Linked DNA regions of Cricetulus griseus. The protein of the gene in region 1 purifies or fractionates together with the protein of each later gene. This does not show direct contact. Links are inferred from orthologs where the notes say so. Each region holds a gene or a part of one and is shown on either strand. Other genes may lie near its edges.

Region 1 (4,331 bases):
TAAACTGAAATGAAGCAAAGACCTTCTTGAAGTGAAGAATGTAAAATATATTCGAGGACATGTATTCAGCACAGTCCTTTGTTCTACATAGGAGCTTTCTTTTTGTAAAGTTTTCCAGTCTGCTTCAAGGAAAAAAAAAGTTAGTATTTGTTAATTCCTTAAAAGGCACCGTTCAAAGCACTGCCCTCGAGAAAATATCATGACAGCTCAACACTCTTTTTCGGTAAGATTCAAGTCCGGCTTTTTCCAACATGGCTGTACACTTTGCAGGCCCCCAAATTTGTACTTTCATAGTCGTCATCAATCAAATAGAAACGCTACCTCTAGCGAACCTGTTTCGTGGATTGGAAATACACTGTGTACAGATGGCGTTAATTTTGAAGGCATAGCTGCTATTCCTGAGTCTTAAGAGTCGCTGGCTTTTGTCAGGTGTGGAGCGGGCGAGGAAGCGTGTGCAGCTTTGGCGTGCAGCAGGTCTGAGGACCCAGGTCTTTAACAGGTTTCCAGAGATTATTGACACTTTCGGCTAAGGAGCACAGTTCATAGTGAGAAGCGGGAGGGACTAGAGCAGACTGCCATCAGAAAGGAAAATGTTTGTGAGCTGTAGGGAGGCAAGAGAGAGCTCTCCAGGCAGAGGGGTCCCCATGGCTCTGGGATTTGCAGGAATTTATCACCACCATTAACAGCTATTTTCCGAGGGTTGTTTACTGCCTGATCCTGAGACAACCAGATTGAGAAGCCCACTCTGGGACCCCAGCCACGCCCCCTCATCTCCGTCCCCCCCCCCTTTCACTAAACTAATGAATACAGGGCCACCCCCTTGCTGGACCCTCCCATTGGCTCGTATCCTAGCCAATCAGAACCTTATAAAGGTTTCACCTAGTTCCCCCCCCCCGCTTCCTAAATAAACAAACAAACCATTCCTCACTGTGCAAGTCCCATCTCCCCTCACCACCTCTAGCCCCCTTCAGCCTATCGAGTGTGGGCTGTGACTCCCCATTCTGGCCCGGTGGCGGGACGCTCTGTTCTCCACCCTTCACATCCACCCACTGCCCCAGCCTTCTGGTACTCAGGACTAGGCTTGGTCTGGCTAGAGAGCCCCGCCTCCTCCCGTCGGTTCTGCCCAGGATCAAAGGCACAGTGATTTGTCCAAAGGGTCTCTGCCAATTTGAAGATGCCTCTGCCTCCGTGGCCCCCGGTGCCCCTTCCTTGCACACCTCTACTGGTGGCCACTTGCTCCCCGCCACCGCTCGGGTAGCTGGATCTGGAGAGGGCTGCCGCGTGAGGCGACAGTCACGTGTTGTTTTGCCCGCCGCTGTGAGCCCAGCGAAGTGGGCGGGGACGCGGGTCTAGGCGGGAGGGGTCTGGGGCGGGCAGACAGGGGGGACCTCCTCTTCCCCCAGCCCTCCCTTCTCGAGCCCCCCCTCTCCTCCGCTCACCTTAAAAACCACGGTGCATCCCCATGGCGAGTTGCTCCTTCGCTGGCGACCGAGCACTAAGGAGACTGAGAGCTGCAGCAGCAGCAGCCTCCACAGCTCTAGCAGCAGTGGCGACCACCCGGCGTCGTTCCTCGGGAACCCCGACCGCACTCATTGGGACCCGGTCGTCCTGTCCGGGAGCTATGTGGCTCCCCACGGCCACTGGCTCCCGGTCAGACTCCGAGTCCGAAGAGGAGGACCTCCCCGTCGGGGATGAAGTCTGCAAACGCGGCTACCTGAGGAAACAGAAGCATGGGCACAGGCGTTACTTCGTGCTCAAACTCGAGACCGCAGACGCCCCGGCTCGTCTGGAATACTACGAAAATGCCAAGAAGTTCCGCCTCAGTGTCCGCGCCGCGGCGGCTGCGGCAGCAGCTGCCGCCTCGGGTGCTGCGGTCCCCGCGCTCATCCCACCGAGACGCGTGATCACCCTGTACCAGTGCTTCTCCGTGAGCCAACGAGCTGATGCCAGGTACCGACACCTTATTGCCCTTTTCACCCAGGACGAGTACTTCGCGATGGTGGCCGAGAACGAGTCGGAACAAGAAAGCTGGTACTTGCTCCTCAGCCGCCTCATCCTCGAGAGCAAGCGCCGCCGCTGCGGCTTGCTAGGCGCGCAGCCGGACGGAGAGCCGGCGGCCCTGGCGGCAGCAGCGGCGGCGGAGCCACCCTTCTACAAAGATGTGTGGCAGGTAGTAGTGAAACCCAGGGGGCTGGGGCACAGAAAAGAGCTGAGCGGCGTGTTCCGGCTGTGTCTTACCGACGAAGAGGTTGTGTTTGTGAGGCTCAATACCGAAGTGGCCAGTGTGGTCGTCCAGCTGCTGAGCATTCGTCGCTGTGGGCACTCAGAGCAGTACTTCTTCCTGGAAGTCGGCAGGTCCACTGTCATCGGTCCAGGGGAGCTGTGGATGCAGGTAGATGACTGTGTGGTGGCCCAAAATATGCATGAGTTGTTTTTGGAGAAGATGAGAGCCTTGTGCGCAGATGAGTACAGAGCCCGATGCCGCAGCTACAGCATCGGCGTTGGCGCCCACCTGTTAACCCTGCTGTCCACTAGGAGGCACCTGGGCTTGCTCCCGCTGGAGCCCGGCGGCTGGCTCCGAAGATCCCGCTTTGAGCAGTTTTGCCACCTCAGGGCTATCGGAGACAGGGAAGAGATGTTCTTTACCAGACGCCTCATACTCAACGAGCCTCTGCCTCCCTCCAGGCGAGAAAGGGGGCACCTGCCCAGAGCCCGCAGGTCCAGGAGAGCTGTTTCAGGACCACCCAGCTTTTCCCGCCGCCTAGCACCTAGCCCGCCGGTACGTGTCTCACACCCTGAAGAAGCCTCTTACGACAGAGCTTGTGAAGCCTCGGGCTCCAACTCTGGCAACTCTGAAGAAAAAGACAAGGAAGGTGAGGAAGAAAACGAAGGTGATTACATGCCCATGTACTACTGGGGCTCAGGAAATGGCCGGGGCTCTGGAGGTGGACAGGGCTCAAGTGGCCAAGGCTCCAGCAGCCAGAGCTCAGGAGGAAACCAGTGCTCAGGTGGCAGTCAGGGATCTGGAGGTGGCCAGGGCTCAGGAGGCCGGGGTTCAGGAGGTCAGGGTGCTGGAGGAAACCAGTGTTCAGGAAATGGCCAGGGCACAGCAGGTGGCCATGGATCAGGTGGAGGCCAGAGGCCTGGTGGTGGCCATGGCTCAGGTGGTGGCCGGAGACCTGGAGATGGTCATGGCTCAGGTGGCGGCAAGAACTCAGGAGGAGGCAAGGGCTCAGGAAGTGGGAAAAACTCGGATGACGGTGACCGTGGAAAATCTCTGAAGAAAAGATCATACTTTGGTAAATTCACTCAAAGCAAGCAACAGCAAATGCTGCCTCCACCTCCTCCTCCACCCCCGCCAGCCGGAGGAGCAACTGGTGGAAAAAGCAAGTCTGGGGGAAGATTCCGACTTTATTTTTGTGCAGACAGAGGGGCCACAAAAGAACGCAAAGAAGCCAAAGAGAGGAGAGATAGGGAAACTCCAGAAGGTGCCACCCGGGGGCCTCACAGAGCCAGAGCTTTCGATGAAGACGAGGATGACCCATACGTGCCAATGAGGCCAGGGGTGGCTTCCCCTCTTGCATGTTCCAGTGACTACATGCCAATGGCACCTCAAAATTCCTCTGCTTCAAAAAGCCGCCACTCTAGGTCACCATTCGAAGATTCCAGAGGATATATGATGATGTTTCCCAGAGTGAGTCCACCACCACCTGTCCCAAGTCCCCCCAAAGCACCGGATACTAATAAAGAGGATGACTCTAAGGACAATGACAGTGACAGTGACTACATGTTTATGGCTCCTGGAGCAGGTGCAATTCCTAAAAATCCCCCCAATCCTCAGGGAGGCTCTTCCTCCAAAAGTTGGAGCTCTTACTTTTCTCTGCCGAGTCCTTTTCAGAGTTCACCTTTGGGACAGAGCGACCACAGTGAGTATGTCCCAATGTTGCCTGGGAAGTTCCTGGGGAGGGGTGTAGACAAAGAAGCCTCCTTTAGCCAGGGCACCAAAGATGTGTCTTCAAAGCCTTCCACTGAGGGCTCATTCTCAAAACCTGGAGATAGGGAGTCACCTGCAAAGCCTTCAGATGACGAGCCCCCAGTGAACAAGGCTAAGAGACCTAACCGACTTTCTTTTATTGCAAAAGGAAACAAAATCAAGCCCAAACCAGAAGAGCCCACACAGGAGCAGAGAGGAGCTGACAGCTCTGGTGACTATATCAACACTGACTTCATTAAGAGAGAGCGCCCTGTGCCAACTCCCTCTGCTCAAGGACTGCCAGATTCATGGGGCTTAGTTACTGACCCCAGACGCACAGCTTTTTCCAGTTACATGA
Region 2 (4,435 bases), on another chromosome or scaffold:
AACCAAGACTCTGCTATGAAAACTAAAAGGGAAATCATCTGTCAAAATCCAAATTTTCAGCTTGGTGCCCAAACAAATATCTCTTAACCTCTGAAATTTCTTCCAGCAAATATTCAGTGGTCTGCAGCTCAGAGACATGCTTTATATAGACCATCCTGGCCGATAATGGAGGCTTTCTAAATAGAAAGAATGCCACTGTAATCCATTTCCTAGGGGTGAAAGCAAGGCATTTTTGTCCCAATGGCCAATTGAGCAACAACCACAGACTCTAGCTGAATAGCAGTGGTGTGAGGAGCTACTGTTCCCACAGTTAGAAGCCCAACTGCAGAAGGGGCTATTTACAGAATTTAGGGAACTACGTAAAATGAACTGCAGACGGGCTGACATTGCACAGTTGTCTGGGATGAAAGCAACATTACAAAATGGTTTCCTTTTATATTATATAACTCTTCTCTGTTTTTAAAAATTTGGTATCTCAGTCATGTTTTACTTGATATCACCCCTCCCCAAAGAAGAGCAATGCAGAAATATAAGCCCACGCAAAGAAAGAGCTAGTTTTAAAACTCAATTCTTTCTCCTTATAGTTTCGGAACCCTGTATTGGAAAGGATAGCTCATTTCTACAGATAAAATAGCACAGGCTCGGGGGAGGGGAGTGGGTGTGGAGGGGTGGTAGGGAGTGCTGTCCGTAAACAAAGCTAGCTCTATGGTGAACTATAAATTCTGTTTTGTATATTATTTCTCTTTAGTTCGTTCTCTTTTGCTTTTTTGTGACATGATCACACACTATAATCCACGCTGGCCTCAAACCAGCTGTAATCCTCCAGCCTCAGCTCCTCCAAGGTTGGGATTTACGTGCCAGTTAGGGTGACCTTGAACTGCAGATCTTCCTGCCTCTGAACCCCAGCTGCAGTTTAGATTACGATGCTGGCCTATTCTTAGTGGGCTTCTGAATCTTGTTCAAACAACAGTAACAATAACTGTAAACATCGGCATTTACCCAAGCCGTTTGGACCATCATTTCTATCTCTGCTGGTTTTTTAAAAGCAATTAAAGACTTTGGATCCTGAGGGAATATGGTCAAATTTAGTGTACTGTGTATGAAATGCTGGAATTTTCTATTAAAAAAAAAAAACCATAAAGTCTGTGATTAAGTGTAGGGGAAAACCTTGGATTATTTTAACTATAGTTTAAGGTTTAAGTCATGTATAATCACCCAGCCCCGATTTTCTTTCTTCCCTTCCCTCCCCTCCCCTCCCCTCCCCAGCCCCACCCCATAATGGATGCTCCGCTAGTTGCATTTGCTCAGCCTTTGTCTGAGGATGCAAAGTCTACGGATGCTAGGGGGAAGGGGTGGGGGAGAGATTACCTCATACCATGTCGCTTGCACCAATCACCACTCTCCTGTCGCGGCTTCTCTGGGCAGACGGAGGGGTCTGGACCAACAGGAAAAGGCCGTGGCCCATCCCCATGGTGACCGAGCTGTATATAAGGAGCCGCATCCGCCCATGTGCCGCAGGTTCTCTTACATCGACCGCCTAAGAGTCGCGCTGTAAGAAGCAACACCTCCTCCTCGCCTCCGCCAACCTCCGGGCAGCCGCAAAGCAGCAACCATGGTGAGCCAGCCTTCTTCCCTGGTCCTCCGTAACTGGGTGGAATCAGTCTCCCGAGATCTTCAAGGGAAAGCCTAAGTCTTTGTCACCCCTGCGGGGAAGGGTGGTCTCAATGCTTTGTTAAGTTGAGCTTTGCGCGGAGTCCGTAAATCCCGCAGCCGCAGTGCGGGGCAGGGAAACGCCCAGACCCGGGGAAGAACAAAGGCTCCTGCGAGTGTTTGCTCGCACAGCCTGGGCCGTCAGGGCGGGGGTTCACGGCTAGAGGGGTGCGCTGCGGCGGGCGAGCAGGGCGGCGGCCGAGCCCTCACTCCAGAAACGCCGCCCCACTTCTATGGGAAAATGGTTAGTTTGCGTCGGATCCATGGCAGCCGGTGTCAGGGAGGCGCAGGGGCGGGGTTGTTTGTCTCTTGCTTCCGTGGCGTTTTGGGAGGGGTTCGCCCTCTCTAAACTTCCCTCGGGAGTGGTTTTTGTATTTTTATTTTTAAAAAATTGCTGTGGAACTGTAATCTTACAAGAGGTTTTGTTTGCTTGAGTGTCAAAAGTACGATTTACTTAACACCAGGACATCTCGCTGGGGAGAGAGGGGCTGGATAGTTGGTGAGGTTGCCTCGACTACCCTGATTGTCAGAACCCAGGGAAACGCCCTTCCCCACCCCCCACCCCCGCAGACAATGAAAGTTGTAGCTTTAAAGACAATAGAAAACTATCTCTATAGAATAAATAATACTAATATATTATGTGGTATGTAAAGATTCATCGAATAAAATACCATTTTCTAGTTTTAAATGTTATCTTTTTACTCGGTTTTTATTGTTGGCCCTTGTTTCTAACTTAGCTTTAAGAATATTTTGCTTCTATATAGTGGAAAAGATTCTGGAAAATCTTCATTATCTAATGAAACTGCTGCAAGGAAAAAAATTATACTCCGTATCCAACTGTCTTTTGTTCTAATACATCTTCACTAATTCATTATTTCAGGCAAATGGCCCAGACAGGGTTAAGAGGGTTAGGAAACTGAAAGCAGCGAGGGGATCGTATAGACAGCTGCTGGAAATAGAGCTTTCTCTGTTAAATAATGTAACAAAGGGCACAGGCTAGCACCAGGCACAGCAGACACAGCAATGCAGAAGTCACACTTTGTCTAGTGCTGATGAGTTCTGCAGAAGGGTGTGGCTCCTGCCCGCAGCCGCAGTACTGATGTCCATGTTGAAATACCAGATCACAAAAGATGAAGCATTCATCTTTACTTATCAGGAAAAGAAGCAATTAAAATAATTCCAGACAATTATTTCACTTTACAGTATCAGTGTATTAAGTATTTTTCGAACATGAAAACTCTTCTATTTAAGTATGGCTGTGAGAACAATGGGTTTGCACCAAGTCTTAGTATTAAGGTGACATTATTCAGACCACACCCCTTTGCAGTATTTGTATCAGGTACTCATTATTGTTTCTGTCATATGAGGGATATGACTCCAAATAAATTTCAACAATATTTGTGTTATTAGAAACACTTTAGAAATCTATTAAAATCTAAAATAGAAATACAGCTTAATTTCATAATTTTTCCCCCTTTTCCACAGCGTGAGTGCATCTCCATCCACGTTGGCCAGGCTGGTGTCCAGATCGGCAATGCCTGCTGGGAGCTCTACTGCCTGGAACATGGCATCCAGCCTGACGGCCAGATGCCAAGTGACAAGACCATCGGGGGAGGAGATGACTCCTTCAACACCTTCTTCAGTGAGACAGGCGCTGGCAAGCATGTGCCCCGGGCCGTGTTCGTAGACCTGGAACCCACAGTCATCGGTAAGTGGGCCAGGGGTTTCCCTGAGGCATTCTGTCCTGGTCACATACTCAGAACCTCTCCACACACCGCCGAAGAGTGAGTGAGCTTGTGTGTGTCAGTTACTGTTGTGAATGGTTGATTTCATCTCCTTTTCCAGATGAAGTTCGCACTGGTACCTACCGCCAGCTCTTCCACCCTGAGCAGCTCATCACAGGCAAGGAAGATGCTGCCAATAACTATGCCCGTGGCCACTACACCATCGGCAAGGAGATCATTGATCTTGTCTTGGACAGAATTCGCAAGCTGGTAAATACCATAGATGGATGGGTTCATTTAAAATGCAGTGTGGGGGAGTGTTGGGACCTGCCAAAATAAGTAAAGTCTGTTCACTACATTAATTAAGTAGACTTGTACATGTGGTCTATGGGTCATGAGATCATTTTTAATACCAATTCACAATTTTTTCCTTTCAAGTAAATGTGGTTTGCCATCTTGAGGAATTGCAAGCAGTGCTGAGAGTATGCCCTGTTGATAAACAATGCCTGTTCTTTTTTTCCTACAGGCTGACCAGTGCACAGGTCTTCAGGGCTTCTTGGTTTTCCACAGCTTTGGTGGGGGAACTGGCTCTGGGTTCACCTCCCTGCTGATGGAGCGGCTCTCTGTCGATTATGGAAAGAAGTCCAAGCTGGAGTTCTCCATCTACCCAGCCCCCCAGGTTTCCACTGCTGTGGTTGAGCCCTACAACTCCATCCTTACCACCCACACCACCCTGGAGCACTCTGATTGTGCCTTCATGGTAGACAACGAGGCCATCTATGACATCTGTCGTAGAAACCTCGACATTGAGCGCCCCACCTACACTAACCTAAATAGGTTGATAGGTCAAATTGTGTCTTCCATCACTGCTTCCCTCAGATTTGATGGAGCCCTGAATGTTGACCTGACAGAATTCCAGACCAACCTGGTACCCTACCCTCGCATCCATTTCCCTCTGGCCACATATGCCCCTGTCATCTCTGCTGAGAAAGCCTACCATG

Evidence for each region. Proteins that work in one complex are often made in the same cells at the same time.
Region 2: the proteins of insulin receptor substrate 4 (region 1) and Tuba1a purify together in Homo sapiens (affinity purification with mass spectrometry; 3 studies listed by BioGRID and IntAct, with this or other methods). This does not show direct contact. The link is inferred for Cricetulus griseus from reciprocal best matches to the Homo sapiens genes IRS4 and TUBA1A.

Annotation. Positions count from the first base shown.
Region 1 is NC_048604.1:38,769,612-38,773,942, forward strand, and holds the start of insulin receptor substrate 4, read left to right. Parts: upstream 1-1,462; coding exon 1,463-3,029; intron 3,030-3,062; coding exon 3,063-4,331. UniProt on the Homo sapiens protein: Acts as an interface between multiple growth factor receptors possessing tyrosine kinase activity, such as insulin receptor, IGF1R and FGFR1, and a complex network of intracellular signaling molecules containing SH2 domains.
Region 2 is NC_048595.1:395,417,800-395,422,234, reverse strand, and holds the start of Tuba1a (tubulin alpha-1A chain), read left to right. Parts: upstream 1-1,515; 5' UTR 1,516-1,612; coding exon 1,613-1,615; intron 1,616-2,900; exon of another isoform or gene 2,901-3,195; coding exon 3,196-3,418; exon of another isoform or gene 3,419-3,555; coding exon 3,556-3,704; exon of another isoform or gene 3,705-3,761; intron 3,762-3,960; coding exon 3,961-4,435. UniProt on the Homo sapiens protein: Tubulin is the major constituent of microtubules, a cylinder consisting of laterally associated linear protofilaments composed of alpha- and beta-tubulin heterodimers.